Linked DNA regions of Ovis aries. Each later gene encodes a partner of the first gene's protein in a complex. Links are inferred from orthologs where the notes say so. Each region holds a gene or a part of one and is shown in the gene's direction. Other genes may lie near its edges.

Region 1 (10,146 bases):
GGTGAAAGCACTATGGTTTTCCTCTTCCCTCCATTCTGGCTTCCCCACCACATCTCTCTAATGAAAGGCCCTAAAGTTATTGGACGTGGGAGACTTTATGAAATCCCAGACCCAGAGCCATAGATAATGAAGTGCCTCCTGCTCTATCTGTTTTTCCCCAGGGCCTGAGTAGGCACTTTGAATTCAAAGAGGAAAGTCCACCCGACCTACCTTCTCCTTACCTCTCTCACTTTCCTTCACTCCCGACCTGGGCTGGTAACAGACCTGGACAAGGGCAAAGTGAAGGGCACACTGCCTCCAAAGCAGGCATCTTGCCAGATGCCAGGATCCAGCCCAAGTCTAGGCGCTTACAGACCCTGGCCCTGGGTTGCGTCATTCCCCTTCCCACCCCACTCACCCTGCCTACCCCCATTTCTCAAAGCTTCTAGCTCATCTCAGAGTCATTTCATCCCCAGCGTGTTCCTTCCTTGTCACGAAATCCTTATCCAGGCTGCTCCTCCCATCCCTGCCACCTCTTCAGGGCTGAGTCCAAGGGGAGAGCAGAAGGGTGGGGCTCAAGTGAGGAGGGATAGAGACCCTGCAGGGATATGTCTGACAGCCCCCTCCCTCTTAGACTTTGGTTACCAAGGAGGCAGCAAGAACAGCCTGTTCTCTGGGCTCCCATCGGAACAGCTATGCCCAGGCCTCTCCCTCTCTTTCTTCCATTCCTTCTCTCCCTCTCAGACTGTTGCTAGGAAGCACCCCAGGACTGATCAAGGGTCTCACCCCTAGAAACCTGGGGATCCAGATAGCTTTCTAAAGAGCTTCTCTCAAATCCTGGAAGCCAAGGCCCCACTCAGCATTCTCCACTCCCACCAAGAATCTACAAACAGTTTGGAGGAACAGGGACAAGGCCTCCGTCATCCTGCCCTGGAATGAACGAGCCCTTCAGTGGCCTGGGCCTAAGTAATTCCCCTTCCTGTCTCCCTTTGACCTCCTGGGCCCTGGGTGATGTCAGCAAGTGACAAGGTGTCTAAGAGACACCCCCTGACTCTGCAGATACAGCCCCACTTATTGGAGAGTTCTGGAAAGAAGAAACTGCTGCTGCTACTGCTGCTGCTAAGTCGATTCAGTTGTGTCCGACTCTGTGTGACCCCATAGATGGCAGCCCACCAGGCTCCCCCGTCCCTGGGATTCTCCAGGCAAGAACACTGGAGTGGGTTGCCATTTCCTTCTCCAATGCATGAAGGTGAAAAGAGAAAGTGGTCACTCAGTTGTGTCTGACTCTTAGCGACCCCATGGACTGCAGCCTACCAGGCTCCTCCTCCCATGGGATTTTGAGGTATCACCAACTAAGAGAACATAAAACCTAAGTATTTCTCTCTCTTACTGATTTTTTAATCAAGAAAAGATAGTGGAAAAGGAGGAGACAAAAGGAGGTCAGTTTATGCAATTTGGGGATCAGCAGCTGGCAGAGATGAGAGACTGAGAAATTAGCAAACAGTTGCCCAACTAAGAGTAAAGTGACCACTTATTGCTCCCTATCAATCACCTTTGTCCCATCAGATGCCCTGTTTATGGGTCACAAAAAAGAGAGCCAGGGAAGGGACTCAGGCCTGGCTGAGCCTTGCTTTGGTATCTGAGGGTAAAAGTAGAAAAAGAAGCTGACACCTTCTCCAGGTTGTCTTTCAGAGCTTATTCTAATTTTGTTCAAACCTTTAATACATCTCAAGTATCAGATCCCCTAAATGTTTCCAGCTTCTGGTCTCAGAAGGTTCCCACCTGGAACCCCTTCATCCTGCTTTGCCAGGAGAAGAGGTGGGGGGCAGTCTCCTTTACCTGCCACACCACAGCCCTCCCCCTCCAGTTAAAGGAGAGATGGCACAGGCAGCTGTGGAGGTCAAGAGGACAGAGTGGCTCTCAGAGCCAGAAGGGAGGAGCAGTGGCCTGTCCAGGGTTCAGGATCACGGCACTCTCTTCTCCTCCTTGCTGGAAGGTGTGGAGAGAGAAGGCATCCTTCAGATGTTAGAGAAGAAACCACTCTGAGGTTCAGAGCGGTTCAGTGGTTCAAAGGTTCAGATTCTGCCTTTCACTGTCCTGGCTGGCCTCTTTCTGGACCTCTCCTGGGGCCAGTGGGAAGACAGAGGCAGAACTGGGGGGGATCCAGGAACTGTCCCTAAGGGGGGACCACCTTGCAGTCTTCTCCATCCTCCCCTTTCCCAGATAGACAGCGAGTGGAGAGCTTAATGTGGGGACGGGTAAGGGGAGGGAACTGGTTTGGAGCCAGCTGTGTACAGAGTGTGGAGTGTGTGGGAATGACTTGCTTTCTTTCCCATCCACCTGCTGCCAATTAACTCCCCATAGTGGGGGGACCCAGGCAAGCTTCCAAAGGAAAATGTTCTTCCCTATAGACAGAAGGGATGATGACACCCTTTGTGCCTTGAGTGCTTACCAAGTATTTCAGAGTTTCTTGGTTTAGACTTGCCATTTTTCCCTACACTTCTTTCCAGCCTAGATGAGGAGTGTTCCCATCTCCTTGGGTACCCAAACCCTGATTCCTCATAGCATTTTACCCCACCGCAAGTCCCCACTCCAACCTGGTTCCTTTTCAGCTACTCCTTCAGTGTTGCCGTGTCACTCTGCCTGGCTGGCTTTTTTGGTTTGTTTGTTTTTATTCATTTTTAATTTGAGGGCGCTGGGTCTTAGTTTCAGCACATGGGATCTTTACTTGCAGCGTGTGGGATCTTTAGCTGAGGCATGCAAACTCTTAGTTGTGGCATGTGGGATCTAGTTTCCTGATTAGGGGTGAAACCCAGGCTCCCTGCATTGGGAGCACAGAGTCTTAGCCACTGGACCACCAGGGAAGTTCTACCTGGCTGGCTGGCTTTTACTTGCCCCTCTTCTCCAGCCAGTCCCCTTCCCCAGCCAGCAAAATGAAGCGCTTGGACCTTGGGGCTAAGAGGGTGGAAGTGAGAGCTCAGCTTCTATCGGTGCTGAGAGAGAAGAAACAGACAGCCCAGGAAAGTGGAGTAAAGAAGAGGGATATTTGAGAGGGACTGTGTGTGGGGAGGGTTTCCTTCTACTCCCAAAGAGGATATTGGCATCTCTTCTCTCACCCACTGGAGGATTATCATGGAATGCCGGTCTTGTGGAGGGCAAGTCAGAGAGCCTGCAGGGCCCTAGAAGCTCTTCTGGTTTCGGGGAAAGAGGTGGGGTATGGAAAGGCAGTCTCTGAAGCTGACACACTAGAGAGGACAAAGTAGAAAAACTGCAAATAGCCCTTACCCAGAACTAAGGGAATCCTTTTAGTGAATTATTTGGCAGTCCAGTGGTTAGGACTTCATGGTTTCATTGCTGAGGGCCCAGGTTCAATCCCTGGTCAAGGAATTAAGATCTCGCAAGCTGTACGGCACAGCCGAAATTAAATAAATAAATAAATAAATAAGGGTGTCCTTTTAAATTCTTAGAAGTCCAGTCCTTGGGGAAACCCTGCCAAACCAAGAGAAAGAGCTGCTGGTGAGAGGTGGGGGACAGGGAAGGCAGATGCTCTCATGACAAAAGCTGCCTCTCTGCCACTGTAAAGTGGGGGAGAAGGCACCCCTCCCCAGAGGTCTGCTAGCTTCCTGCCAGAAGGGCATGGTCTGAGTTCAGAATGCCACTCTTCTCAGGGCCCAAACATTCTCCACTCCCATGTGGACCAAGTCAGGAGCAGTCACAAGGTTGACAGCTTTTTTCTAAGAGGACAGTTTGGGTTCTGTGGGATGGGAGTGGAGCTGCAGGATGCATGAATGTGTCAAGGTGGGAAGCCCTGAGCTGCAGTGACAGCAAAAGAATAAGAGGAGGGAGGCGGGCGAAGGTAGAGTTGGGGGCCTGGGAGAAGCAGGGAAGCCAGGTACATGAGAGACTGCTGAGAAACAGGGTCTGTAGCCGGCTTCGATGTGTGTGGCTGAGGGGAGTTTGGAGGTCAAGTGTGAGAAGTCTAGGTTCTCCCTCCTTCCTGCTTTGGAAGCTTTGGCTACACATATTTGGCAGCTGTTTTGTATAAACATTATTCCCCAGCGGTGTCGCTTGGGCAGGCACTAAAGGGAGCAGAATGGAGGGGGCTGTGGGTGGGTTATGGGGAAGGAGGAAGCTGAAGGCAGTCATGACCTTAGAGGGATGTGATCTGGGTCTCCTCCAGCTGCACTCTCCTCTTCAGAACAGGAGTTCTGGTCTCCCTGTTTAGACTATGCTCCAGACACCCAGGATTCTGTCATTCTTTGCCCGGAGAGCTGCAGGTTTGCTTCCAGAGTCTGAGGGGGACTGTTCTTCCAGATTCATCCCTCTGAGAACTGAGTCTGACACTTAAAGGGTGACCAAAGAATGGGGATTGGGAAATATCGATGGAGCTTGGATTCATGGATGGGGATCTGAGGCTCCTTGTGGTATGGGCTGAAAATAGGGCTGGCAGGACACTGCCTTGTTCCAGTTGTAAATGTAGTTCTGGTTGTAAATGTTAGTGGCGATCTGTCCACAGGGCAGGACAGGGATGAGGGCTGTGTGTGGAGAGGCTCAGCTGTTGGAGTCAGAGGTGGGTAGCATTTACTTTTGGCTTCTAACTGGGGAAGGGGGGTTGGAAAAAGGCTAATACTGCAAACACTGGACATAATTATCTATAATGTGGTTCCATAGGTTAGAGCAAGACATCATGTTTTTAAAGTAATTAATTTATGTTTGGCTGTGCTGGATCTTGGTTTCTGAGCATAGGCGTTTTCTAGTTCAGGTGAGTGGGGGGTTACTCTCTAGTTGTGGTCTGTGGGCTTCTCACTTCGGTGTCTTCTCTTATTGCAGAGTGTGGGCTCTGGGGCCTGTGGGCTTCAGTGATCGTGGCCCTTGGTCTCTAGAGCCTGGGCTCAGCATTTGTGACCCATGGGCTTAGTTGCTCCTCGGCAGGTGGAATCTTCCCAGATCAGGGCTAAAACCATGTCCTCGCATTGGCAGGCAGAGTCTTAACCACTGGACCACCAGGGAAGTCTAATTATACTGCTTTTTTTTTTTTAAATTTTATTATTTTTTTTTATTTTAAAATCTTTAATTCTTACATGCTTTCCCAAACATGAACCCCCTCCCACCTCCCTCCCCATAACATCTCTCTGGGTCATCCCCATGCACCAGTCCCAAGCATGCTGTATCCTGCGTCAGACATAGACTGGCGATTCAATTCTTACATGATAGTATACATGTTAGAGTGCCATTCTGCCAAATCATCCCACCCTCTCCCTCTCCCTCTGAGTCCAAAAGTCCGTTATACACATCTGTGTCTTTTTTCCTGTCTTGCATACAGGGTCGTCATTGCCATAATCATACTGCTTTTAAGAAACATTTTTTAAAAAAGAATTTTAGTTTTAGATTTATAGGAAAAAATTAAAGATAGAGAGGTTTCCTATATACCTCACTTTCAATCCCTACCCCTTTAACCTCTTACTTAGTATGGTAGGTGTTACAATTAATGACTGACATTGATACAGTATTATTAACTGACATTGATACAGTATTATTAGCTGAAGTCCATGCTTTATTCAGATTGTTTAGTTTTCATCTAAGGTTCTTCTGTTTAAGGATCACATCCAGGATAGCAAGTTACATTTAGTCATCATGTCTCCTTAGGCCCTCTTGATTGTGACAGGTTCCTAGACTTTTCTTATCTTCGATTTCCTAAAGCTGTTTCCTCCTTGCTTCTCCCTTAGTAAAGCAGTTGGCTGGGCCAGGAGATTCTGAGAGAACATTTTAGGGTTAAGGGGTGGGTAAGGTGTGTTCAGCTGATAGAGACTCAGTGTTGCTTTGGAACATAGTTGCGGAAAGGAGAACAACTCTGGGAAATCCGGGGGTTTCGGAGGGGAAAAAAAGCCAGGAAAGAGAAAACCTATGGATGAACTCATGCCACACCCGTGTTGAGCCTACTAACTAGCGGGCAATGAAAGGGTGTCAGAATTTGATTTAAATGCTCGGTCGACAATGATGTCACTGGAAGAAACTTAATTGCCGTACGCCTTTTGAGAGCCTTTCTCCCTAAGCTTCCTGAGTCTTCGAGATCCTCAGCTCCTACTCAGCTTTCCCTCAAGGAGAGAAACAATGCCGACTGACTAGCTTCTCGTAGCTTCCGCGCTAGCTGAGTCCAAGGAACTGCAATTCCCAGAAGACATAGTGGTGTGACCGGTGTCTCGCTGCCTTCCTATTGGCTCATGTTTGTTACTGTCAGCCAATAGAAAGCTAGCTCTTTCATAAGTGCCAAAATGGCGACACCTAGAATCTAGAACTAGATTGTCCGGTAGGCTTAAATTTGGGGAGGTGATGGATGGGAAGGAAATAGGGAATTATAGTTTCAGGGTTGGGGAGGGTGGAGGAAGTAGGGGGAGAAATCTGGATTTGGGGTAGTAATGGCCGAGGGACGCAGCCAGAGCTAAGGGCATATTTAGGCAACCGGAACTGGCTTAACCCCTTACTGCCCATTTATTCTTTGTATTAAGCCCCTTTGACACTCTCTTCTTACTGCTCTTGTTTAAAGAATGTTCAGGTGGGAATAACCTAATAGGATCCCTGTTTTGCCCCTTTCCCCTTTTTTTTCCTTTGTAGTTCTACTTCCCTTGAATCTTCCTATATCGACTCCATTCCATCTAAGTCTGCGCTCCACCCCCATCTCCCCGCTGGGTTCTTTCCTTCAGAATCCCTTTCCCTTTCTCTAGCTTGATTTCTCCAACCTCAAGGCTGACTGCTACCGGCCCGGTCTCCTCAGAGTGAAATCATGAAGGTGGTGAACCTGAAGCAAGCCATTTTGCAAGCTTGGAAGGAGCGATGGAGTGACTACCAGTGGGCAGTCAACATGAAGAAATTCTTTCCCAAAGGAGCCACCTGGGACATTCTCAACCTAGCAGGTCTTAAGTGAAGTAGGAAGGAAGGATGGGAGGGCTAAACCCAGAAATGTTGTACCACTGAGTCTTCCTTTGTTATTCTCCTTGCAGAAGCGCTACTGGAGCAGGCCATGATTGGACCTTCCCCCAATCCTCTCATCCTGTCTTACCTGAAGTATGCCATTAGTTCCCAGGTAAACTCTTCTACCTATTCCAGACAGGGTTTGAAGGTGAAAGGCTTGGAATATAGTTGTCAGCTCAGATTTTCTAGGTGAATTTGTTTGAGCACATCGTTTCTCTGAGCCTCAGTTTTCTTGTGAAAATAATAATACTCCATTGGTTATGATGAATATTACATTAATTTACTCTATCAATAAATATTCACATATGCCCTGGGGATTTAGCTGTGAACAAGGTCTAGTCCCAGTGCACAGGTATTTCGTGAGTAATATAGGCATGTGAATAAGCAGTCAATCACAGGATAGGATTACGATATAGGACAGAGTACTATGGGAGTACATGGGAGGGATACCTAATCCCAGGTTGAGCAACCAGGGAGGAAGTGATGTTTAAACCAAGACTTGAGTGTTGAATGGGAATTAGCCAAGGAGATTGATGAGAGTGTACAAAGCAGAGAGAAAAGAATATGCAATGGTTGGGAGACAAACATCACATGATATTTAGGAATTGAAAATAACGTGATATGGCTAGAGTACGGTAGGGCTTCCCTGGTGGCTCAGTGGTAAATAATCTGCCTGCCAAAGCAAGAGACACCGGTTCGATCCCTGGGTCAGGAAGATCCTCTGGAGAGGGAAATGGCAACCCACTCCAACATTGTTGCCTGGGAAATCCCATGGACAGAGGAGCCTGGCGGGCTACAGTCTATGGGGTCCTGAAAGAGTTGGAACACCACTTAGCAACTAAACAATAACAATGGCTAGAGTAGCAGTTTTGGCCTTAGAACATTTTATGCTCTTAAAAATTGAGACTCCTGCAGAGCTTTTGTTTATATGTATTATATCTATTCATATTTACCACTTTAGAAATTAAAAAAATACTTATGTATTTAAAAGTAACAAAAAGTAAACCCATTGTATATTAACATACATAACGTTTTAATGAAAAAGTAACCATATTTTCCAAAACAAAAATGAGTGAGGAAAGTGGTATTGTTTTACAGATCTCTTTAATTCTGGCTTAATAGATTACAGCTGAATTCTCATAGCTGCTTCTGCATTCAGTTGTTGCAGTAGGCTCTTTCAGCTGAATAAAATCTGGCCTTGCACATCAGATATTTAGCTTGAAAAAGGAAGAATATTTTAATAAGCCTTTCAGATAAATGTGGATATTTTGAAAGGTTTATTAAAATATTTTTCCCTTTTAATTAACCTTGAGTTTTAGTAACTGTATACCTATGTCGCTAACATCCAAAATAAGATAAACCATTTCCATTCTCCCAGAAAGTTTCCTTGTGCCCTTTCTAGTCCATCTTCCTGTAACCACTAAATGTTTTCTATTCAGTTCAGTTTAGTTCATTCACTCAGTCGTGTCTGACTCTTTGCGACCCCATGGACTGCAGCACACCAGGCCCCCCTGTCCGTCATCAACTCCCCAAATTTACTCAAACTCATGTGCATTGAGTTGGTGATGCCATCCAACCATCTCATCCTCTGTCGTCCCCTTCTTCTCTCACCTTCAGTCTTTCCCAGCATCAGGGTCTTTTCAGATGAGTCAGTTCTTCGCATCAGGTGGCCAAAGTATTGGAGTTTCAGCTTCAGCACCTTTTTCTATACCCATAGATTAATATTGCCTGTATTTGGATTTCATAGAAATGAACTCGTGTTTAGTATTAACTCTTAATGCTCTGTCCTCTTTTAATTTTTTTTTTTTTTGAAATGACAAGTTATTTAATTAGGTTCTTTGCAAGAAGTTCAGAATACTACTTTGTGAGGATAAATTCCATTTGTGAGAGCAAACACAGAGCGGAGGTAGCCCTGGAGCTGAGGGACAGCTTTGATTCTTTGCAGAATTTGCGAGTCCACAGCTTTCTGGTCAACCTTGCGCTGCTCTGTGATCTCGTATTTCTCTCTCTCTGTGTCGAAGACCTCACCCTCCTGGTGTCTGGGTTTACGCAGCTTCTTCTTCTTGAAGTAAGTGTCAGTGAGATATTCCGGAATTTTCACACCACTGATATCGATTTTGGTGGAGGTGGCAATGACAAATTTCTGGTGTGTTCTACGCAGAGGAACTCGATTGAGGGATAGAGGCCCAGTCACAAGTAGCAAGCCACTGCCCAGCTGCTTCAGGAAAACGACCCTCTTGCCTCTGTGGCACCCAGTGAGGATGATCAGAATGGTCCCAGGAGTGATGCTGGCACGCAGCTTCCTCACATGCTTACTGAAGGGTTTTCTGCCATGACTCAACAGTTTCCGAGGCACATCTTCCGTAGGGTAATACCTAGGCATTTTGCGAAGTTTGACCACTCGCGTACCACCATTCTTGTCGCCACCAACTGGTTTTGTGACAGTAGCAAGAGCACGAACCTTCTTTTTCTTTTCGACCTTGGATTTAGGTGCTGAATATTTTCTCTTGTACAAGGCCTTTCTGGAGTACATGGCTGATCGGGAATATCTGCCAATTCCTCTGACCAGGACAGGATTTCGGCTGCAGTGGGGCTTCCCCTTCTTAACCTTCTTCACCTTTTCCACCTTTTTAGCCTTCTTGCCAGCATCAGCCTTCTTGGCTTCAGGTTTTTTCTCCTTAGTATCTGGCTTCTCAGCCTTTTCACCCGCCATCTTACAAGATGGGAAAGAGCTCTGTCTTCTTTTAATATAAATGTTGTTGAGCTTTATGTTATTGTATATGTCAGTAGTTCATCCTTTTTTAAACTTGCTGAGTAGTATTCCTCATCTGGCACGTAGTTCTTATGCTTCCTGTTTCCCCTTGGCATCAAGTCTCATTTCCATGTTAGCACATATTCATCTACTGTGTGTTTTTTTGGCTGCACTGGGTCTTCACTGTGGCACACTGACGTTCTCTAGTTTTGGCTCTCAGGCTTCTCTAGTTGCAGAGCACAGGCTCTCGAGCACTGTGACTCAGTAGTTGCAGGCTCTCTAGTTGTGGTTCCCAGGCTTAGTTGCCCCTTGGCATGTAGGATCTTAGTTCCCCAGCCAGGGATCAAACCTGTGTCTCCTTCACTGGAAGGCAGACTCTTGACCACTGGACCACCAGGGAAGTCCCTACCTTGTTCTTTTTAACTGCTGTGTACTGTTCCATATAT
Region 2 (9,971 bases), on another chromosome or scaffold:
GAGACCTGGATTCAAATATGTTCTACTACTTAACAAGCTTGGACAAGTCAGTTTTTCCAGGCCTCAGTTTCATCTGTAACATGTGAATAAGAATGTTTACTTCAGAAGGATGTTGTGGCAATTAACCCGGAGAATCAGACAATGATAGAGAAAGCCTATCATTCTTTGGAACATTCACTGAGGCCTACATACCATCCATAGCAAGCTGAATAAGACATGAGGCATGTGCTGCACACTATGCACGCCAGGATGAAGGGAGCAAAGTCCATCTCATTGATTTGTTTTTTTGTTTGTTGCCCCTGTCCCTTGGCGGTTAAGGTACAAATTATTCTTGAAGCCTTTTCCAACCCTGTGCTGTTTTCTGTTAACAGCGTTCCACAAGAGTTTTCACCTGCCCTTGAACCACTGTACATATGCCAAAGTCCTGAACTTCAAGCATGGCTTCAACCTGAATCTTCTTCACCAGTCTTCTCTCTCACCCACCTCCCCCTGAGTTTGAGATCACACACTGGTTCCACTGCTTATTAGAATAAGGCCTTGGTGAAGTTAAACTCTCTGTGCCTGAGTTTCCTCACCTGTGAAAGAGGGATAATAACTGTGCCGATTTCACAAGGATTTCCCAAGTAGTAGATGATGACTCAGGAAACACTTGTGTTAGCTATTCTCAGTGTCACTGAGCCCACATGAGCAGCTGCTTCCTCTAAGTTCTCTGAAGGCTCACACCTCCTCCTCTGCTGCTGCTGCTAAGTCGCTTTAGTCGTGTCCGACTCTACGTGACCCCATAGACGGCAGCCCACCAGGCTCCTCCGTCCCTGGGATTCTCCAGGCAAGAACACTGGAGGGTTGCCATTTCCTTCTCCAATGATGCATGAAAGTGAAAAGTCAAAGTGAAGTCGCTCAGTTGTGTCTGACTCTTCGCAATCCCATGGACTGCAGCCTACCAGGCTCCTCCGTCCATGGGATTCTCTAGGCAAGAGTACTGGAGTGCGTTGCCATTGCCTTCTCCTCCTCCTTCCCCTCAGATTGTCAATTTTCCTTTGCCTGCAATGTATTCTGCCTCTCCTCACTGCCACCCTCCACTCCTCCATGCTTAAATGTCATTCCTCTGAGAAGGCTTTAGGATCCACCCACTTCACTTAACAATTAGGTTAAGAACCCTTGTTAAACACTCACTCGCTCTGTACTTTTCCTCTGAGGCACTTATTATAATCCAATGTTTGTTCACCCCATTAAAATAGGGAGTGTCTTACACTGCTCCCTATCCACCCTGATACTTAGCACAATTCCAAGTCCATAACAGCACACATCATTTAAGTATCTGAGGAACGATGACTTCTTAAATCTGACTAGGCCCAAACTTTCTCTATTGGGATTATAATAACCTCTAACAGTCAGTCACTTTAACTCTTCACTCCCTTTACCTTCTGGGGTAAGATGTGCAGAAATGCAAATCAAGAATTTAACAAATGAACTTGTGGTTGAGTGAGACTGCCAGGAACGTGTGTTGATTCAAGTTATTTTAGATTTGCATTGCTCAGTATGGTAGCCATTACTATCTGTGGCTACTGAGCACTTGAGATATTGCTAGCCCAAAGTGACATATGCTTAAGAGTAAAATACACTCTGGATTTTAAAGACTTGGTACAAAAGAAGAACGTTAAATATCTCATAATTTTTAATATTCATTACATGTTGAAATGGCACTATTTTGGAAATATGGGGTTAAATAAAATATATTATAAATTAATTTTACCTATTTTTTTTAACCTCTTTAAGCGGCTTCTAAAAAACTGGCATATATGGCCTGCATTGGGTTTCTATTAGATAATGCTGTTTTAGACCATCTGCATGAAAGGTTTGTTGTATTTCACAACATCCCTCCATGTCTTCTCATTTTAATCCACAAAACATGCTCCAAATTCCTTGAGTATTCCTCAGTAATGGTATTTCTGATGCCTAGGCTACTCCACCAGCCCTGTGAGCACATTTGATCCTTTTTAATAGGGTAGTTTCCTACAGTTGTATTTAATCTTGGATCTCATTACATCAAATCCTAGCACTGGAGATTTACCATCCTGTGGCTACTTTCTCTTTGCACTGTAAACATTATGGCTAAGAACACAAGATCACAAGGGACCACCTGTTTTGGAGTCCTGGCTCTGCCACTTACTAGCTGTGCAACTTTGTTACTCTTAAAACCTCTGTGCCTCAGTTTCCTCAACTGAAAAATGGGGATAAGTGTCTACTGTGTAGGGTTGAGAGTAATCTTTGACATTGGTAAAGCGCTAAGATGGTCTCTGGGACACAGTAAGCATTCGATAGGTAAGGATTCAATACATGATTATACACCTCTCACCCTTCCCATCCACTCACATGTTCTCCTGTAACATTGGGCAACTCTCCTAGTGATGTTTTCTTTCCAAATCTGACATTTTAGACTTCTAATTACAAAACTCTGCCACTCCCCAGCTGAGAGTAGCACTTGGGTAAGGTACTTCACTTCCCTCGATTTTTAGTTTGTCTGTATATGGAAATGGGTATTGTCACCTTCCTTGCACAAGTCTGAACCACACAATGTATACAAAAGTTCCTTGCATGGTCCTTCGTACTTAATGGATGCTTCATTTGCATTTTCCCATTTAAAACGTGTGATCCTCACAATAGACCTGAAGATAGATATTTTACAAAGAAGGAAACAGGATCCGGGAAGTCAAGATTTGCCCAAAGTTGCACAGATAGCTACAGGGCAGCGCCAATACCAGAACGAGGTTTCACTCTGAATCCAACGTTTTTTCATGAAATCTAAGCTGCTCTCCAATTGCATGAGCGCTAGAACCTAATTAATTTATGCTGTTTATGGCATTCCAATAATATTTGAATGAGGCAGCAACCGGCAAACCTGCCCACTGAAACTGCAACAGAAGATCAAAATACAGATTTTCTGAATGCCATTACGAGGTCAAAGAACCCAAGAGCCCTAGAGTAGAGAATCGTGGATTAAATTTCGGCAAACAAAACTGAGCCACGAATTCCTCCTCTAGGCCTCCCCGAGGAAAGTAGGGGTGAGGAGATGCTACTATTGGGCCTTCAGGAGGGCCAGGCGGCCCCCAGACCCGGAGGAGGCCACGGCCGCGCCTGGCCGCCGGACCCTCCCCCTCGGATCTACAGGCCCAGCGCTGCGCCCGCCCGCCCCTCACCTCCGGCTCCGGGCGCTCCGAGGCCATCACACAGCCCTCCCGCGCCGGCCCGGGCCAGAGAAGATGCTCCGCTCCTGACCCCTGACCCGGAGGTCTCGCGACTGGCGGGGCCGGAAGTGAGTGGGAGGGTCGAGTTCTGAGCTTTCTAATTGGCCTACTTGGGAACCGGAAGAGGAAGTGATTGACACCGCCCCCCGCCGCAGCAATGCAGGTGAGGACCGGTTTGGCGCTAGCGACGGGTAGCTAGCTTGGGGTAACGAGACAGAAAGTGGGCTGGCCGAGGAGAGAGTGAGGAGTTAGGGATGAGAGGACTTGGTCGAGACCGCGACTGTGAGATAAAGGGACGCGCGATGGGGACGAGGACCTCTGGAGAGGGATAGGGGTGGAGCCCGGCTGACAGGAGACAGAAACTGCGGTTAGGTTGGGACGGAGAAGGCAGCACTGTCTTGCTAGGGTGTGGAAAAAGGATCAAGTTGTTGATAGGGTGTGGAAAAGGATCAAGTTGAAATTTGGGAAGGTGCAGTCCAAGGAAGACGGCTGAAGAAAGAGGTGGATTGGGCTCGGGCTCAGGCCCCGGCCTAGACGTTGGATGTTGACAGAACAGAGGATCTAACTGGAGAGAAGCCCGAGGGTGGAAGGAATTGTGGGACCGTGGTGGCCAGAAGCCAGACTAAATAATCTGAGGCCGTGGGTGGAACCCGGCTCGTGTCCTCCACATTCGGGGTTTTGCAGTTCTGTTTCATTCTTCCTAGTGTGTACCCCTAGTAGTTAAAGGGTGAAATGAGATAAAACTGGAGACCCCTCAGCTTTTAATATAGTTTGCCTAGTGCTTAGGGGCATGTGCGGTTTGGTTGCTGTTTTGTTTTGTTTTTCATTTGTCACTGTTTGTTGCAGAAGGGTAGTTGTCAGTACATTTTTATAGGTTGACTAAGCTTGCGAAAGGGGCACAGGAATATTGGCACAGCAATAAAGTGAGTGCAGATTGATTTAGCAAGGAGGAGGTTGAAACAGCAAATGCTGAGGGAAGAGGAAGGTGACGGTGGCAGTATTCAGAGGAGCCTTCCTGTATAGGTAGGTTTTCAGAGATTATGTCATTGCCAAGAACAGCCAGGTTCACAAGGCAGGTTCTAGAACATAGGACGTCAGAGTACGTCTGCTGCTGAGGTGTGCCGAACAGAATAAATCCCAGGCATTACGTCTGGTGAAAATTGTCCAGTGAGGGAGAACAGATACAAACCAAGCCTAATATAGAGAAACAGTCACGCCCGGATTAAAAGCGATGAGAGGAAGGAATCAGTAGGTAAGAGGAATTGAGGTCAGATGAATGGGTTTTAAGGTCTAAGGGTTGATGCTGTCTGTGATCCTAACTCCAAATAGGGGTGGAGCCCGGCTGACAGGAGACAGAAACAGCCTGACTGTCCCTGTGCCAATGAGATTCTGTGTCACTGTCCTGGTGTTGCACACTGTCACCCTGGCTTTTCAGCCTTCCTCTATATGTGTCATCCTTACACTCAGCTGAGTAACCAACCTATTCCTATTGGCTCAGAGGGAGGAAAAACAGCTTGAGGCATCATTAGATGCACTGCTGAGTCAAGTGGCTGATCTGAAGAACTCACTGGGGAGTTTCATTTACAAGCTGGAGAACGAGTATGACCGGCTGACCTGGTAAGAGTTGCCAGGGCAAGCTGGGGAGGGCTCTATGGGTGGGGGCTAGGCCACCTGCTGCACAGGGTACCTCCTCCAGCATTTATCACTTTGTGAACATCTTTTGATTTAGAAAGAGCTGGCTTTCCCAACATTTAACACTGAAGTTGGCCTTGGACCTCAACTTTAAGGGTAGTAGAGAAATGCCCAATTTCTCAACCCAGGTTCTTTCTAGCTTTTGATTCTCCCTGTTTGACTTCTCCAGGATGAGGTCCTCCTGCAGTGGGTCCTCCCACCACAGTATTCATACTGGATTTCTTGCACGGGTTTTGCCAAGTCTTTTAGGTCCAATCTAGGAAAGTTTGGATCTGGAAAGGGATCTTTCACCCGGTTTCTGAAGTTCTAGTGATAATAGTGTAGCCATCGTTCCTATTTTGCCATTGTCCTCACCCCATTCAAATGTAGTAGCTCCTCGTGATCTATCAGGGGTAAGTTCTAAGACCCACTGTGGATTCCCGAAACTATGATAGTACTGAATCCTATTCTGTATATACTGTGGGTTGTTGTTTTTTTTTTTCTATACTACTTGTGTGGGTACCGTATACGGTATGGATATGCTGGACAAAGGGGTGATCAACATCCTGGGTAGGACAGAGTGGGATGAAGCAAGATTTCATCACACTCCTCAGAACACCTCCCAATTTAAAAACATGGATTGTTTATTTCCTGGATTTATCATTTAATATTTTTGGACTGTGGTTGACACGGGTAGACGAAACCTCAGAAAGTGAAACTTAGGATAAGTGGGGATTGCTATAATGACCTGTTTTTTTTCTCCATCTGTGTCAGAAACTCAAAGTGTATCCCTCTTTCTTAACCCCATAATCCCTGCGAGCCAGTCTAGTTCCTGCCCAGGCCAGCATAGGGCTATGAGTGTTTTGGGGGTGAGTCTGGTTATTCCTAGTCCGAGGGACCCCTTTGAGGCTCCTTTACCAGGAACATGCTGACATCTTCTTACCACCACCAGGCCATCTGTCCTGGACAGCTTTGCCTTGCTTTCTGGACAGCTGAACACTCTGAACAAGGTCTTGAAGCATGAAAAGACACCACTGTTCCGCAACCAGGTCATCATCCCTCTGGTGTTGTCCCCAGACCGAGATGAAGATCTCATGGTAAGAGGAGGAGAGGGATGCAGCTTAGGAAACAAAGCCCTTAAATGAGGACTGACAGCACAGTGGTTGGTTTCTATCTAGAAATTTTGAATATGCAGTAGTGTGTGGCAATAAGTGGGGGCTACATTTTGGAGGCCTTGCTTTTTGTCCTTCTGTCCTATTTCAATCTTTGATTAAAATGTGGTAGAGAAGGGTTTATCCTTAGATCTGGTAGAGACAGGGTGTGAGTAGATAGAGTTGAAGGATGGAATGAGGGGAATAGTGTCTTAGGAAGCCAGATATTATTAGTCTCAGGTTATGTTTTCCCTGAAAGTGCACTGTTTGCCTGTGGAAGGAACTATGTGTATATCAGGCCAAAATTGAATCTTCTTGGAGTGCACAGTAGGATCATAAAATCTGTGTGTTACAGAGGCAGACTGAAGGACGGGTACCTGTTTTCAGCCACGAGGTGGTCCCTGACCATCTGAGAACCAAGCCTGACCCTGAGGTTGAAGAGCAAGAGAAGCAGCTCACCACGGATGCTGCTCGCATTGGTGCTGACGCAGCGCAGGTTGGACCGAGTCCCTGCCCTGCTGCCCTACACCCTCGAGTTTTACCATAAGAGGCTGAGTATTCCCACTTCTCTATTGTAGGGTATGGCAGTTGGTTATGCCTCCATTGCCCCTGGAATAGCTCAAGGAAGAACCTTTCCTGTAATCATTTCTTGCTTGCCCTAAATTCTGCACAAACTTACATGTGTTACAGAAACAGATCCAGAGCTTGAACAAAATGTGCTCAAACCTCCTGGAGAAAATCAGCAAAGAGGAACGAGAATCAGAGAGTGGAGGTATGGAGGGATTGGTGGCAAAGTGATGGGGGAATGAGGGATAAGATCACTGGAATAGGAAGGGTGGTATTGGTAGTGGTGAAATGAGGATGCAGGGATGTGCTGTTTAGCCAAGGGTATGCATCTATTCTGTTGGCCTTCTATATTTCAGGCCAGCACTGGGGCAGGTGGAGAAAGGAGCAAAGGGAGAAGGGCGAATTCTGAGATAGTCATGGGGGTCCTCTGGCTCTTCCTCTGGGTTGCCAGGAAGTCTGGATGCTACCGAAGTCAGAACTCCAAGCCCTGGCACTCATACTGGTCTTCCTGGTGCTAGAAGAAGTCCAGGGCTAGAGGCATACCTCAGGGTCTCCACTTACTTTGCCCTTCAGGTCTCCGGCCGAACAAGCAGACCTTTAACCCGGCAGATACCAACGCCTTAGTGGCAGCTGTTGCCTTTGGAAAGGGGCTGTCTAACTGGAGGCCTTCAGGCAGCAGTGGTCCTAGCCAGCCAGGCCAGCCGGGAGCTGGAACAGTCCTCGCAGGAGCCTCAGGGTTACAGCAGGTGCAGATAGCAGGAGCGCCAAATCAGCAGCAGCCAATGCTCAGTGGGGTGCAGATGGCCCAAGCAGGCCAGCCAGGTAAGGTGACAAGGATTGGCTTGGTGACAGACCTTGAGCAGGGATGTGAGAATAAACTGGGTTATCTGCCACACTTCCCCCTCACCCCATCCCCAGGGCTGGAGACATTCTCCTTTTCTCCTTGGACTGTGACCCAGAAAAAAACTCTTGAGAGTGAAAGTCTCATTTGAGACTCTGTTAATAGACACCAGACAATGAGAAAGAACTTCGACTAAAATTGCCCTTAGCTACCCTTCTGTGCCCTTTAACTCTGGGTGGGTGTGTTGTCAGTGTCTCACCCTAGGTATTAGGATCACTGGGTAGATGTGTTGGGAGTTGACAAGCAGGCAGGTTTTCCAGTGCTACGCGTATTCCTTGCTCTGTATCCTGTCTCTTCTGCTCACTTAGTAATTATCAGAACAGTCTGGAGGAGTTCGGATATAAGCAGCTAGAAGAAATATTTTCTTCCAAGCTGTCTAGGCAAAGGGACAGCTCTCTTTTTCCATTAGGGGAGGAGCAAGAGCCTGCAGGGATGTGCTCCAGCCCTTCCCGCTATTCCTCCTCCTGACCATCTTCAGGTAGAGGGCTGGGCAGGGAGCTGTACCTCTGAGCCTTGTCACCCAAGGTCAGATGCCACAGATTCTGAGCTGATGGAGGAGATGACAGAAGGGAACCTGGGAGGCAACACTTCTGATTTATGACGAACATCTGACTGTGCTTCAGGTGTCTTTCTTCGTGTTCTTTTTAGGGAAAATGCCAAGTGGGATAAAAACCAACATCAAGTCGGCTTCCATGCATCCCTACCAGCGGTGAGTGTGAGTGGCAACCTCCACTCCCAGGTGTTCTTTTCAGAGTTGGGCAGTGAAACTGCCTTTTGCCCAAAGCTGACCTGGATGGGTACAATGAAAAGAACACAGGCTTTCGGCCACAGACAGATCCCATCTCCACTGCCAACTAGCTGTGTGACCTTGGGCAAGTGACCTACTTTTTCTGAGCCTGTTTTCTGGTTTATAAATGATGATAATACCTACCTCATAGGGTTGTTGTGAGGATTAAAATGGGAAAATGATGTAAAACACTTAGCACAATCTATGAAATAATGAGTATTCAATAAATGAGAGTTTCTACAGCCACTTCTCCCCACTGCCCCCTCCTCGGTCCTCGATCCAGAACTTGCCCTGATCTGAAACTGCTTCGTGTCTGTGGTGAGCTGATGGACACAAGATCGTGGACCGCTCAGCTTTGTTTGAAAGCCTGTGTTTATTTTGTGCTGCCAGAGATGGTGACAGCTTCTGTGTCCTTAGAGGCCCGCTGCCTCCACAGGCCTTGCTTCCCACATTCCAGCCTGGCCATCTCTCCAGGCTGCAGGTGACGAGGCCTCCGGGCTGAGACAGACCATCCACTTACAACTCTGGAGAAGCTTGGGACTGCTCTACTCTCCATCCTCTCAGAAGCCAGTTCAGCTCTCATCTGGGAAATAGTCAGAGTCCCCTATCCTTTACCCCACCCTGGGCATGTCAGGGAAGATGCTGAAGTCCCAGTAGGTGGGGACTTCCTCAGGAAGTGGCTCTGCCAGGCAGGACTACGTGAGAAAGGGTTTTGTGAGCAAGTGAAAATGTCCCTTGTTCTCCAGACCTTTTTTTTTTTTCTTTCATATTTTGGAGGGAAAGGGGACTTGCACCTCACACCGTCTCTCATTGTGGTTGAGTCATCCTCAAAGTATGCCTGGTTCCTGGGCTCAGTTAGCATGGCTTTTCTCCAGTCCACTGAGCCAGTGGTTCCAATAAGGGTCAAGTGGATGGTGGGAGGTGGCAGCCGCCAGCACTTTTGCCTGCTTCTATAAAGCTGGAGAGGAGAGTGGGCTTGGGTCACCAGCTTAAGCTGCCTTTCTTGGCTCTCCTTTGCAAGCAAGGGCAGGAGTTGAGTCAGCAGAAGTGGACCAAAGGATTGCTCTGAATAAAGTTATTTAAGTTGATGACCACTGTGTCAGGGTTATCTGACAGCAGGTAAATTGAGAGAGCTGTGTGGGGATTGGAGACTACACGTCAGAGACTTTCAAGGTTGTTGCAAGGCAGTATTTTAAAAAATTTTATTTATTTGGCTGTGCTGGGTCTTAGTTGCAGCATGCAGGATTTTTGGTTGCAACAGGTGAACTCTTAATTGCAGCATATCGGATCTAGTTCCCCAGCCAGGGATCAAACCCAGGCCCCTTACAATGGGAGCCCAAAGTCTTAACCACTGGACCACCAAGTCCCAAGGCAATCCTTTTTTCTTCTCCAATAAAAAGTTTTCTTAGGTTGTTTTTTTTTTTTTTGTCTTATCTGTAGGTTTGATCTAAAAGTCCTGAGAGGTAATAAGAGGGGCTGCTGATTCCTCCCAGCTGCCTTTGCTCTGTTCTCTTCTGTCACATATTAGCACTTTGGTATTTGTTCAGTGCCAGGCAGGACTCTGCCAGGCTGTGGCAGCAAAGGACTGGAAAAGTAGTCACAGATGTCACATCCATTCGAGTTCCATCACGACCAGAAATGTATCCATG
Region 3 (9,918 bases), on another chromosome or scaffold:
ATGGACATGAGTTTGAGCAAACTCTGGGAGATAGTGAGGGCAGGGAAGCTTGGGGTGCTGCAGTCCATGGAGTCACAAGGAGTCAGACATGACTGAGCAACTGAAGAACAAACAACCTTAAAAAAATTGACAGGGTGTAGAAAGAGGGTGACTATTTCTGCTTGCCACTTAGGGTAAAATTATAAAAATGATATTCTTTACAATGTGCCACACTCCTAAAAACAGCCAAGATGCTAGTTACCATGGACTCCTGCCCGTAACTGCCCCTTCATCTCCTCCCACTCTCCTTTTGCTCTTAGTTGTGAAACACATGGGTTCCCTTCCTGTCTAACTCAGAGGATCACAGCAGCCTCAGACTCTTCACACTTGCTGTCTACAAGATATTTGCACAGTTGACTCCTTCTCATCACTCGTCTTAGCTCCAAAGTACCTCTTAGCAGAGGCTACCCCAATCACCTTCTAGAAAGTAGCTACCCATCCACCTACATAGCTATCACTTTATTTTGTATTATTTTTCTCTCCATAGCAACTTATCACTACTAGAATTATTATTTTTTTCTTGTATGCTGCTGTTTGTATCTCTCTATGAGAAGGCAAAGCTTTTGTTTGTCATTTTTACCATCCAGAACAGTGCTTGGCATAATAGATGCAATAAAGACTTACTCAACAGGTGTAGCCCTTATTGGGCTTCCCTGGTAGCTCAGATGGAAAGAATCTGCCTGCAATGCAGGAGACCCCAGTTCAATTCCTAGGTCAGGAAGATCTTCTGGAGAAGGGACAGGCTACCTACCACAGTATTCTTGGGCTTCCCTGGTGGCTCAGCTGGTAAAGAATTTGCCTGCAATGTGGATGACCTAGGTTTGATCCTTGGGTTGGCTACCCAACTCCAATATTCTGGCCTGGAGAATTCCGTAGATTGTATAGTCCATGGGGTTGCAAAGAGTCAGATACAAATGAGCGACTTTCACAGCCCTTGTTAAGCTAGAAAAGGCACCTTTAAGAGAGAAATTTTCCATTCAGATTCCAGGTGTAGCCACATAAGCGAATGTCTATTATACACCATATTTTCACTAGTTCCTCTCATGATGTGAATTTTACACCATTATTCATTTGTAGCTTATTGTAAAGAACACTAGACTAACAGTCAAGAGTCCCAGATTCTAGCCTTGATCCTCCCTTTAACTGTAAGACACTGAACTTTTGGGTCCAAAATTTCATTTCTAGAAATTTATCTCAAGGAAAACATTGAACAGGTACACAAACATATACATGTGCACCAAGAACTAGGGTACTCATCCAGTATATTCACAATAGTAAGAGTTGGAAGGAAGATAATTTCACATAACAGGCTTTGGCTATATAGACCCTGGTTTATCCATTGATGTCACACTGTGAATTCATTTGAAAATGATTATATTCATTTTGTTACTTATTCAGTGGACGTTCATTGAGTACTGGCCAATTCCAGGTATTGTTCCAGGTACTGATGCAGAAGTGAATGAACCGAAGACCCTATGATGATGAATCTTTTATTTTGATGGGGAAAAAAAGACAATGAATGTAAACAAATCATATACTACATAATATGATATCAGATGGTAACACATTCTATGAAGGACAGATAATACATAGTAAGGAAATTAGGGACATTCCCCAAGAAAATGATTGGGGCATGCCACTTTTGAGTATCCAGGAAAGACCAATCCGACAAGGTCACATTTGACCAGAAACCTGTATGAAGTGAGGAGGTGAGGCATGTGAATATCTGTGGAAAGAGAGTCCTAGGCAAATGCAATGGCCTTTAGGCAGAAGTAGACTTGAAAATTTCAGGGGAAAAAAAGAAACCTTGTATGTGGAGAAGATTGAGCATAGAAAAAAATGGTAGGAAGTATTATTGGGGAAGTAGCCAAGGACTAGATTTTTGTAGCATTTCCTATAGGCCATGGTAAGGACATTAGATTTTATTATGAATGTGAAGCCTTGGAGAACTTTAAGAGTGGCCAGATCAGTCATATTTTAAGACAGTATGATAAAATAGGCTTTGTTGTTGTTGCAGTTCAGTCGCTAAGTCATGTCCAACTCTTAAATAGGCTAAGGAAGGACAAAAGTGGAAGCAAGGAAACTATTGACATTTAGGGGGTTATTTCAGAAGTCAGGGGAAGATTATGGTGGCATGGATGAGGATGGAGGCAGTGCGGATGGTGAAAATTAATATTTTGAACTTTTACTTATTTCCACATAGAACTAATACAAAAGACTGATACCTTAATTTTGAATAGAGTATGGGAGAAAGAGGAGTGAAGATGAACTGTTATGTTGGAGACTTTGCAGTCGAATAAAGATGTGTAATACTGTTGGTTAAGAGGGTCTGAGTGCAAGGGACAGGGTGTTGCCAGGATCTAGATACCACTTGAGTATTATCACCTGGATGACATTAAGAGGAGAACTCAGTCCGGGGGCAATTCAAATGATCAAGTGTGCCAAATGCTGCTGAAAGTAGACCAAGATGAGGACTAAAGAATGCCCACTGGAGGTCACAATTTATGTAACATTGGTCTCAATGGAGAAAAGCCTGACTGGGGTATGCTCAAAAGTGAACAAACTTCTTCAACAAATAAATTGATTGTGGGTGGGGGAGAATGAGGTAGAGGAAAGAAACTACAGATTAAAAGATGATTAATAGATACATCCAGTATCAGACTGATACAGACAGTCACAAAGGGGTGGACTTTACTGGATCCTCAGATAATTGGTATCCAAATACTGACTTGATTTTCACAATATTAAATAGCTGTCGTGTCTGACTCTTTGCGACCCCATGGACTGCAACACGCCAGACCTTCCTGTCCTTCACCAACTCCAGGAGCTTGCTCAAACTCATGTCCTTTGAGTCGGTGATGTCATGCAACCATCTCCTCCTCTGTTACCCTCTTCTCCTGCCTTCAATCTTTCCCAGTATCAGGCTCTTTTCCAATGAGTCAGTTCTTCACATCAGGTGGAAAAAGTATTGGAGCTCCAGCTTCAGCATTGGTCCTTCCAGCGAATATTCAGGAAAATAGAAAAAGAAAGCAAAGAATAGCTACTTTTAATAGTAACACATTCTTCGCGACCCCAAACCCTGTGGCTGCTGCAGAATCACGGAAGGGTGGGAGGTGCCAGAGGGAAGGTAGGAGGAAAGGGGTGGCTGGGGAGAGGGAGTATGCGCCCGCGAAACGGTGAGCCAACCGTCACAGAGGCGGGACTAGAGCCTCGGTTAAAGGACAGCTCTTTCCAGCCAATCAAAGGACAGTATCAGTGGCTTCTTCCTGGAAGTGGAGGCCGGAAGTTGGATTTCGGCTTGAGGTGGAGAAGGCGGCTGCTAGTGTAAGCCCAGAGCTGAAGTAAGTGGGCGGCGACGGCTTGGGCCTCAGTTCCTCGTACATTTCTTTTTCCGGACCCCGCTGCTTCCTTTGGGAGGGCTGGGAGTCCGGGGAGGCCTGGTGCTGAGTACGTTCGTCCGCCTTCCTCTCCGGCGTTCCTCAGAGAGCGCGACCTTCCCCGCAGCTCGCGAAGCCGGGGTCAGGGGTGGGTGGGGGTAGTTGGCCTCTCGTGGGAAGGTACCCTCTGCGCGGCGGGCTCTAGGCCGCCTCCGGGGGGAGGCCGAGCCCGGCCGGAGGTTGGCACACCTGAGTTCTAGACCCGCTCCGCTGGTTTACCGAGCTGTGTGGCCTCGCCACGTCTTCTGGCCTCTCTCTGGCCTTGTCCCTAACCAGTCTCGCCCTTCTTCCTCAGGGAGCATTCCTGAAATCAAAAGATTTAATGGGAGACGGGGAAGGAGGTAGGTCCCAGGCGTCATTCATTAGATCTTCTGGGGAGGTTTTAAAGCTACATTCCAGCAGCTCCGTTTACAGTAGATAAACGAGTCGAACGTCTGGAGATAAGACCCTACAATACCTTTCTTTTTTGGGTTAAATCCGTCAGAACGGAACAAACACTAGAAGATGATCTTGAGTCTGATAATCAGCTTTGATGCTTGACGCATGTCTTAGGAAAAACCTCCATTGCCTTTGACAAGTTTAGTCTGGAGAAGTGGTATAAACAAACATGATTTCTGTTGTATGTCAGTTTCCATTTGTACTCTAAGATGCTTCATTGTTTACTGATTTAAAGGAGCTTGTGCTGTGCAACCATAACAGGCAAGGTTGAGAGTTCCTGCTATGCCATTTCCTGGCCGTTTGATCTGGTTACAGATACTTCTTGGTGAGACAGACTTGGGACCCTCATCTCTAAAATGAAATTGATAGTAGTAGTAACTCATAGAATTAGTTTGAAGCTTAAGTAAAAGAGAATATAAAACAATGATACCTGTCATTTAGTTGCCCTTTGGGGATTGGCAGTTTAAGTAGAGGATTACACAAGGTTCTGGGAAGCACAAAACAGGAATTCCAATCTGAAAAGGCTTGAAGGGGTGAAACCTAGGCTGTATGAAATTTATTTTGAAGTACCAGATGATTGCTAATTCTCTGATTTTGTTAATTATGTGGTTCTAAGAGGACATTCTTATTTGGGTCTACCCACTGAAGTATTTTAGATAAAGAGATGAGAGACCAATAAGGCAGATGAGGGAAAATGTTAACATTTGAAGAATCTGAAGAATATGGAATATTATTCATAGACTGAAAAGTCTGAATTTTTGAAAGTTTTAAAACATTGGTTATAACTATTTGCAACTATCATAAGTGTGTTGTAAATAAATGAACCAGTACACAGTATTTATAACCCTCCATTCCATGTACTTTCACCCCTTTTTTTCTTAGTGGCCATATTGTGTATATATAGACATTTTATCCAAGGCCTCATATGGGTGAAGGTATGGATGAAGGTATGGGTTATTTCCAGCTTTTCCTGCTCTTTTCAAACAGTGCTGCATTAAATATCCTGATACACAGATTTGTGTACTTCTACCAATATTTTTGTAGGATAAATTTCTAGAAATAGAATTGTTGGGTCACCAGTCAGTCCTAAAGGAAATCAACAATAAATACTCATTGGAAGGACTGATGCTGAAGCTCCAATACTTTGGCTACCTGATGCAAAGAGCTGACTTATTGGAAAAGACCTTGATGTTGGGAAAGATTGAGGGCAAGAGGAGAAGGGGGAGGCAGAAGATGAGATGATTAGATAGCATCACTGATTCAGTGGAAATGAATTTGAGCAAACTCTGGGAGATAGGGACAGGGAGGCCTGAGGTGCTGCAGTTCATGGGGTCGCAAAGAGCTGGACACAACTTAGCAACTGAACAACAGCAACAGTGTTGTTAATCAGCTATACTTCAATATAAAATAATAAAAAGGATTGTTGGGTCAAAGAAATCAGCATTACAGTGTTTGATACTGTCACATTAATTCCAAGTAAGCATATTTGTTTCCTATCAGTTGTGTATGAGAATTCCCCATATTCTCTTGGTGATACTGGCTTGCCACCTTAGAGTGTTATGGTGGCTGTGATGGTGTTTAGTGGGACCTCAGGGCAACGGATGTTTTCCACTGCAGAAGACTTCCCTGCAGGGCCAGATTAGCTAAGAGCTTGCTTGTAAAATTGGCATGACCACTCTGAAGAAGCTGAAAGGTAGAGTGTGATCTGTGCTGGAATCCAGCACCTGCCACATAGAAAGTGTTGTTTGTTAAGTGATGGAGTATTTGAAATCTTGATAGTCTTATATGGATAGGATCCTTTTTTAGAATTTATTTTTAATTGAAGGATAATCGCTTAATTGGCAACTGTGAATCAGCCATAAGTATACATATGTCAACTTTCCCTTGAACCTTCCCCCCGACCCCCACTCCATTTCACACTTGTAGGTTGTCACAGAGTACCAGATTTGAGCTCCCCATGTTATACAGCAACTTCTCATTAGCTATTTTACATATATGTGGGGATTTTTTGCCTTTTTTTTCTTTTTTTAATTGGAAGATAATTGCTTTACAGTATTGTGTTGACTTCTGCCATATATCAGAATCATGAATCATGAATATATCATGAATCAGCCACAGGTATACATAAATCCCCTCCCTCCTGAACTCCCCTCCCATCTCCTACCCCATCCCACCCCTGTAGGTTGTCGCTAGGTTGAGCTCCTTGTGTCACACATCAGATTCTCACTTGCTATCTATATGGTACATTTACATATTATAATGTACATGTTTCCATGCTGTTATCTCAGTTTGTCCCTCCCTGTGCTTCCCCCACTGTGTCCACAAGTCTGATCTCTATACCTGTGTCTCCATTGCTGCCCTGCAAATAGGTTAATCAGTACCATCTTTCTAGATTCCATACGCATGCATTAACATACAATATTTGACTTTCTGACTTCACTGTATAATAGGCTCTGCTGCTGCTGCTGCTAAGTCTCTTCAGTCTGTGGGCTACCCCACAGACGGCAGCCCACCAGGCTCCCCCATCCATGGGATTCTCCAGGCAAGAACACTGGAGTGGCTTGCCATTTCCTTCTCCAATGCATGAAAGGAAAAGTGAGAGTGAAGTCGTTCAGTCATGTCCAACTCTTAGTGACCCCATGGACTGCAGCCTACCAGGTTCCTCCGTCCATGGGATTTTCCAGGCAAGAGTACTGGAGTGGGGTGCCATTGCCTTCTCCAATAATAGGCTCTAGGTTCATCCATCTCATTAGAACTGACTCATACGCGTTCCTTCTTATAGCTGAGTAGTATTCCATTGTGTATATGTGCCACACCTTCCTTATCCAGTCATCTGTCAGTGGACGTCTAGGTTGTTTCAATGTCCTAGCTATTGTAAAAAGGGCTTCAATGAACACTGGGGTACTTGTGTTTCTTTCAATTATGGTTTTCTCAGGATATATGCCCAGTAGTGGGATTGTTGGGTCATATAGCAGTTCTGTTCCTAGTTTTTTTAAGGAATCATGCTGTTCTGTGTAGTGTCTGTATCAGTTTGCATTCCCACCAGCAGTGCAGGAGGGTTCCCTTTTCTTCACAGGCTTTCCAGCATTTATTGTTCATTGATTTTTAAATGATAGCCGTTCTAATTGGTATGAGGTGATACCTCATTATAGTTTTGATTTGCATTTCTAATAATGAGTGATGTTGAGCATCTTTTTATGTGTTTGTTGGCCATCTGTATGTCTTCTTTGGAGAAATACTGTTTAGGTCTTCTGCCCACTCTTTGGGTTATTTGTTTTTCTGGTGTTGAGTTGCATGAGCTGCTTGTATATTTTGGAAATTAATCCTTTGTCAGTTGTTTCATTTGAATTATTTTCTCCCATTCTGAGGGTTGTCTTTTCACCTTGTAAAAATTTTCCTTTGCTATGCAAAAGCTTTTAAGTTTAATTAGGTCCCATTTGTTTACTTCTTTTTATTAAATTTTCATTACTCTAGGAGATGGATCAAAGATGATCTTGCTGTAATTCAAGTCAGTGAGTGTTTTGCTTATGTTTTACTCTAATAGTTTTACAGTTTCTGACTTTATGTGTAGGTCTTTAATCCATCTTGAGTTTATTTTTTTTTTGTATGGTGTTAGGAAGTGTTCTAACTTCATTCTTTTACATGTAGTTTACTGTCTGGTTTCCCCAGCACCATCTATTGAAGAGGCTGTCTTTTCTCTTATGTATTCTTGCCTCCTTTGTCAAAGATAAGGTGCCCAATAGGTGTGAGGATTTTTATCTGAGCTTTTCTTCTTGTTTCTTTCATCTGTATTTCTGTTTTTGTGCCAGTACCATATTGTTGAGTATTATAGCTTTGTGGTATAGTCTGAATTCAGGAGGGTTGATTCTTCTAACTCCATTTTTTTTTCCTCAAGATTGCTCTGGCTATTCAGAGTCTTTTGTGTTTCCATACACAAACTGTAAAATTTTTTGTTCTAGTTCTGTGAAAAATGTTGGTAATTTGATAGGTAGTGTGTTGAATCTGTAGATTGCTTTGGGTAATATAGTCACGTTCACAATATTGATTCTTCCAGTCAAAGAACATGATATATCTCTCCATTTATTTATGTTATCTTTAATTTCTTTCATCATTGTCTTATAGTTTTCATTATACACGTCTTTTACTCTCCTAAGGTAGGTTTATTCCTAGGTATTTTACTCTTTTTGTTGCAATGGTGAATGGAATTGTTTCAAAAAGGATTCTTTTAAAAATTTGCTCTTAGCAGGGTATTATTCTGAATATTTTCTTGCTTTTATTCAGCATTTGCATTTTCTTCATCTTTTGCCTATTTTTCTGTTATTTTTTTTAACATCAGTTCAGTTCAGTTCAGTTGCTCAGTTGTGTCTGACTCTTTGCGACCCCATGAATCACAGCACGCCAGACCTCCCTGTTTATCACCAACTCCCGGAGTTCACTCAGACCCACGTCCATCGAGTCCGTGATGCCATCCAACCATCTCATCCTCAGTCGTCCCCTTCTCCTCCTGCCCCCAATCCCTCCTAGCATCAGTCTTTTCCAGTGAGTCAACTCTTCGCATGAGGTGGCCAAAGTACTGGAGTGTCAGCTTTAGCATCATTCCTTCCAAAGAAATCCTAGGGTTGATCTCCTTCAGAATGGACTGGTTGGATTTCCTTGCAGTCCAAGGGATTCTCAAGAGTCTTCTCCAACACCACGGTTTAAAAGCATCAATTCTTCGGCACTCAGCCTTCTTCACAGTCCAACTCTCACATCCATACATGACTGCAGGAAAAACCATAGCCTTGACTAGACGGACCTTAGTTGGCAAAGTAATGTCTCTGCTTTTGAATATACTATCTAGGTTGGTCATAACTTTTCTTCCAAGGAGTAAGCGTCTTTTAATTTCATGGCTGCAGTCACCATCTGCAGTGATTTTGGAGCCCAAAAAAATAAAGTCTGACACTGTTTCTACTGTTTCCCCATCTATCTGACATGAAGTGATGGGACCAGATGCCATGATCTTCGTTTTCTGAATGTTGAGCTTTAAGCCAACTTTTTCGCTCTCCTTTTCACTTTCATCAAGAGGCTTTTTAGCTCCTCTTCACTTTCTGCCATAAAGGTGGTGTCAGGTTAAAAAAAACTCAGTGGATCCTTATTGAGGATTTAGCTTCTTCTAGCCATTGTTTAAGGTACTAGAGGTAGAGTTGTGAATAAAAGGCAATATGAAGTCAGTGCTTTTCTTCTCATAGGGATGGAATCAGAAAATATGTTTTAAAAAATCATAATTAAATTTCTAGTATTTACCCCTGTTAGCTTGCATGCATTCTTCTTCCAGAAAAATAGGCTTATCTTTTAATTTTGCTTCTGATGTATTTTCCCATATGGAATTTTTAGATTGATTTTTGGTGGTCAGATCTGTGGGTCTTTTGTAGTACCCTTAAAACGTACAGTTATTTTTTGTCCGTTTTCCTTGATAGATTGTAAGGAACACTAAGATGGAGTCAGTGTTTCTTATTTATCTTTGAAAGATAGTATAATGTAGTGTTTGAGATCTTTTGGCTCTGGCTACTTCCTTTACACAAGTTGATCAACCTTTCTGAGCCACAGTGACCTCATCCTTGAAATGGAAAGCTCACCTTTCTTTTCTCAGATTTCTCACAACCGTGAGAGAAGTTTAGAACAGTCCCTGGCAAGTAGTATGCACTCAAGTATTACTTGTCATCATAATCATTATTGTCATATATTAGACAAACATTAAATACTTGCAGCAGGAAATACACATTAAAGATGTTTGTACCTGCTTTCAAATTCCCTTTGACTTGAAGCTTTTGTGTAATGAATGGAGCTACCAACAAATACTTATGAAGCTTATGTGCGTGGTTTTGAACCCAGTGAGAACTGTGATAGTCATAGTCCTTCCCTTCATAGAGTTTATAGTCTGGTTGGGGACACAAATCAGATACTGATGAAGAGAATAAAAGGGGGAAGACAGGTTCTGCTTTTGATGAATAATCAGAGAAGTTAT

Evidence for each region. The genes of interacting proteins can lie anywhere in the genome.
Region 2: MED24 (region 1) and MED8 share a complex: the UniProt entries of both Homo sapiens proteins name them as parts of the mediator complex. The link is inferred for Ovis aries from reciprocal best matches to the Homo sapiens genes MED24 and MED8.
Region 3: MED24 (region 1) and MED7 share a complex: the UniProt entries of both Homo sapiens proteins name them as parts of the mediator complex. The link is inferred for Ovis aries from reciprocal best matches to the Homo sapiens genes MED24 and MED7.

What each region holds. Positions count from the first base shown.
Region 1 is NC_056064.1:40,105,992-40,116,137, reverse strand, and holds the start of MED24 (mediator of RNA polymerase II transcription subunit 24), read left to right. Parts: upstream 1-4,202; 5' UTR 4,203-4,549; intron 4,550-6,239; exon of another isoform or gene 6,240-6,532; intron 6,533-6,701; 5' UTR 6,702-6,760; coding exon 6,761-6,890; intron 6,891-6,977; coding exon 6,978-7,060; intron 7,061-8,769; exon of another isoform or gene 8,770-8,797; coding exon of another isoform or gene 8,798-9,661; exon of another isoform or gene 9,662-9,681; intron 9,682-10,146. Other genes in the region: large ribosomal subunit protein eL6-like, read right to left, coding at 8,798-9,661. UniProt on the Homo sapiens protein: Component of the Mediator complex, a coactivator involved in the regulated transcription of nearly all RNA polymerase II-dependent genes.
Region 2 is NC_056054.1:18,063,364-18,073,334, reverse strand, and holds MED8 (mediator of RNA polymerase II transcription subunit 8), read left to right. Parts: upstream 1-3,380; 5' UTR 3,381-3,402; coding exon 3,403-3,408; exon of another isoform or gene 3,409-4,497; intron 4,498-4,743; coding exon 4,744-4,862; intron 4,863-5,868; coding exon 5,869-6,013; intron 6,014-6,422; coding exon 6,423-6,563; intron 6,564-6,757; coding exon 6,758-6,839; intron 6,840-7,207; coding exon 7,208-7,456; intron 7,457-8,183; coding exon 8,184-8,248; 3' UTR 8,249-8,568; downstream 8,569-9,971. Other genes in the region: KICSTOR complex protein SZT2, read right to left, coding at 3,198-3,224. UniProt on the Homo sapiens protein: Component of the Mediator complex, a coactivator involved in the regulated transcription of nearly all RNA polymerase II-dependent genes.
Region 3 is NC_056058.1:66,396,956-66,406,873, reverse strand, and holds the start of MED7 (mediator of RNA polymerase II transcription subunit 7), read left to right. Parts: upstream 1-3,327; 5' UTR 3,328-3,380; intron 3,381-3,771; 5' UTR 3,772-3,817; intron 3,818-9,918. UniProt on the Homo sapiens protein: Component of the Mediator complex, a coactivator involved in the regulated transcription of nearly all RNA polymerase II-dependent genes.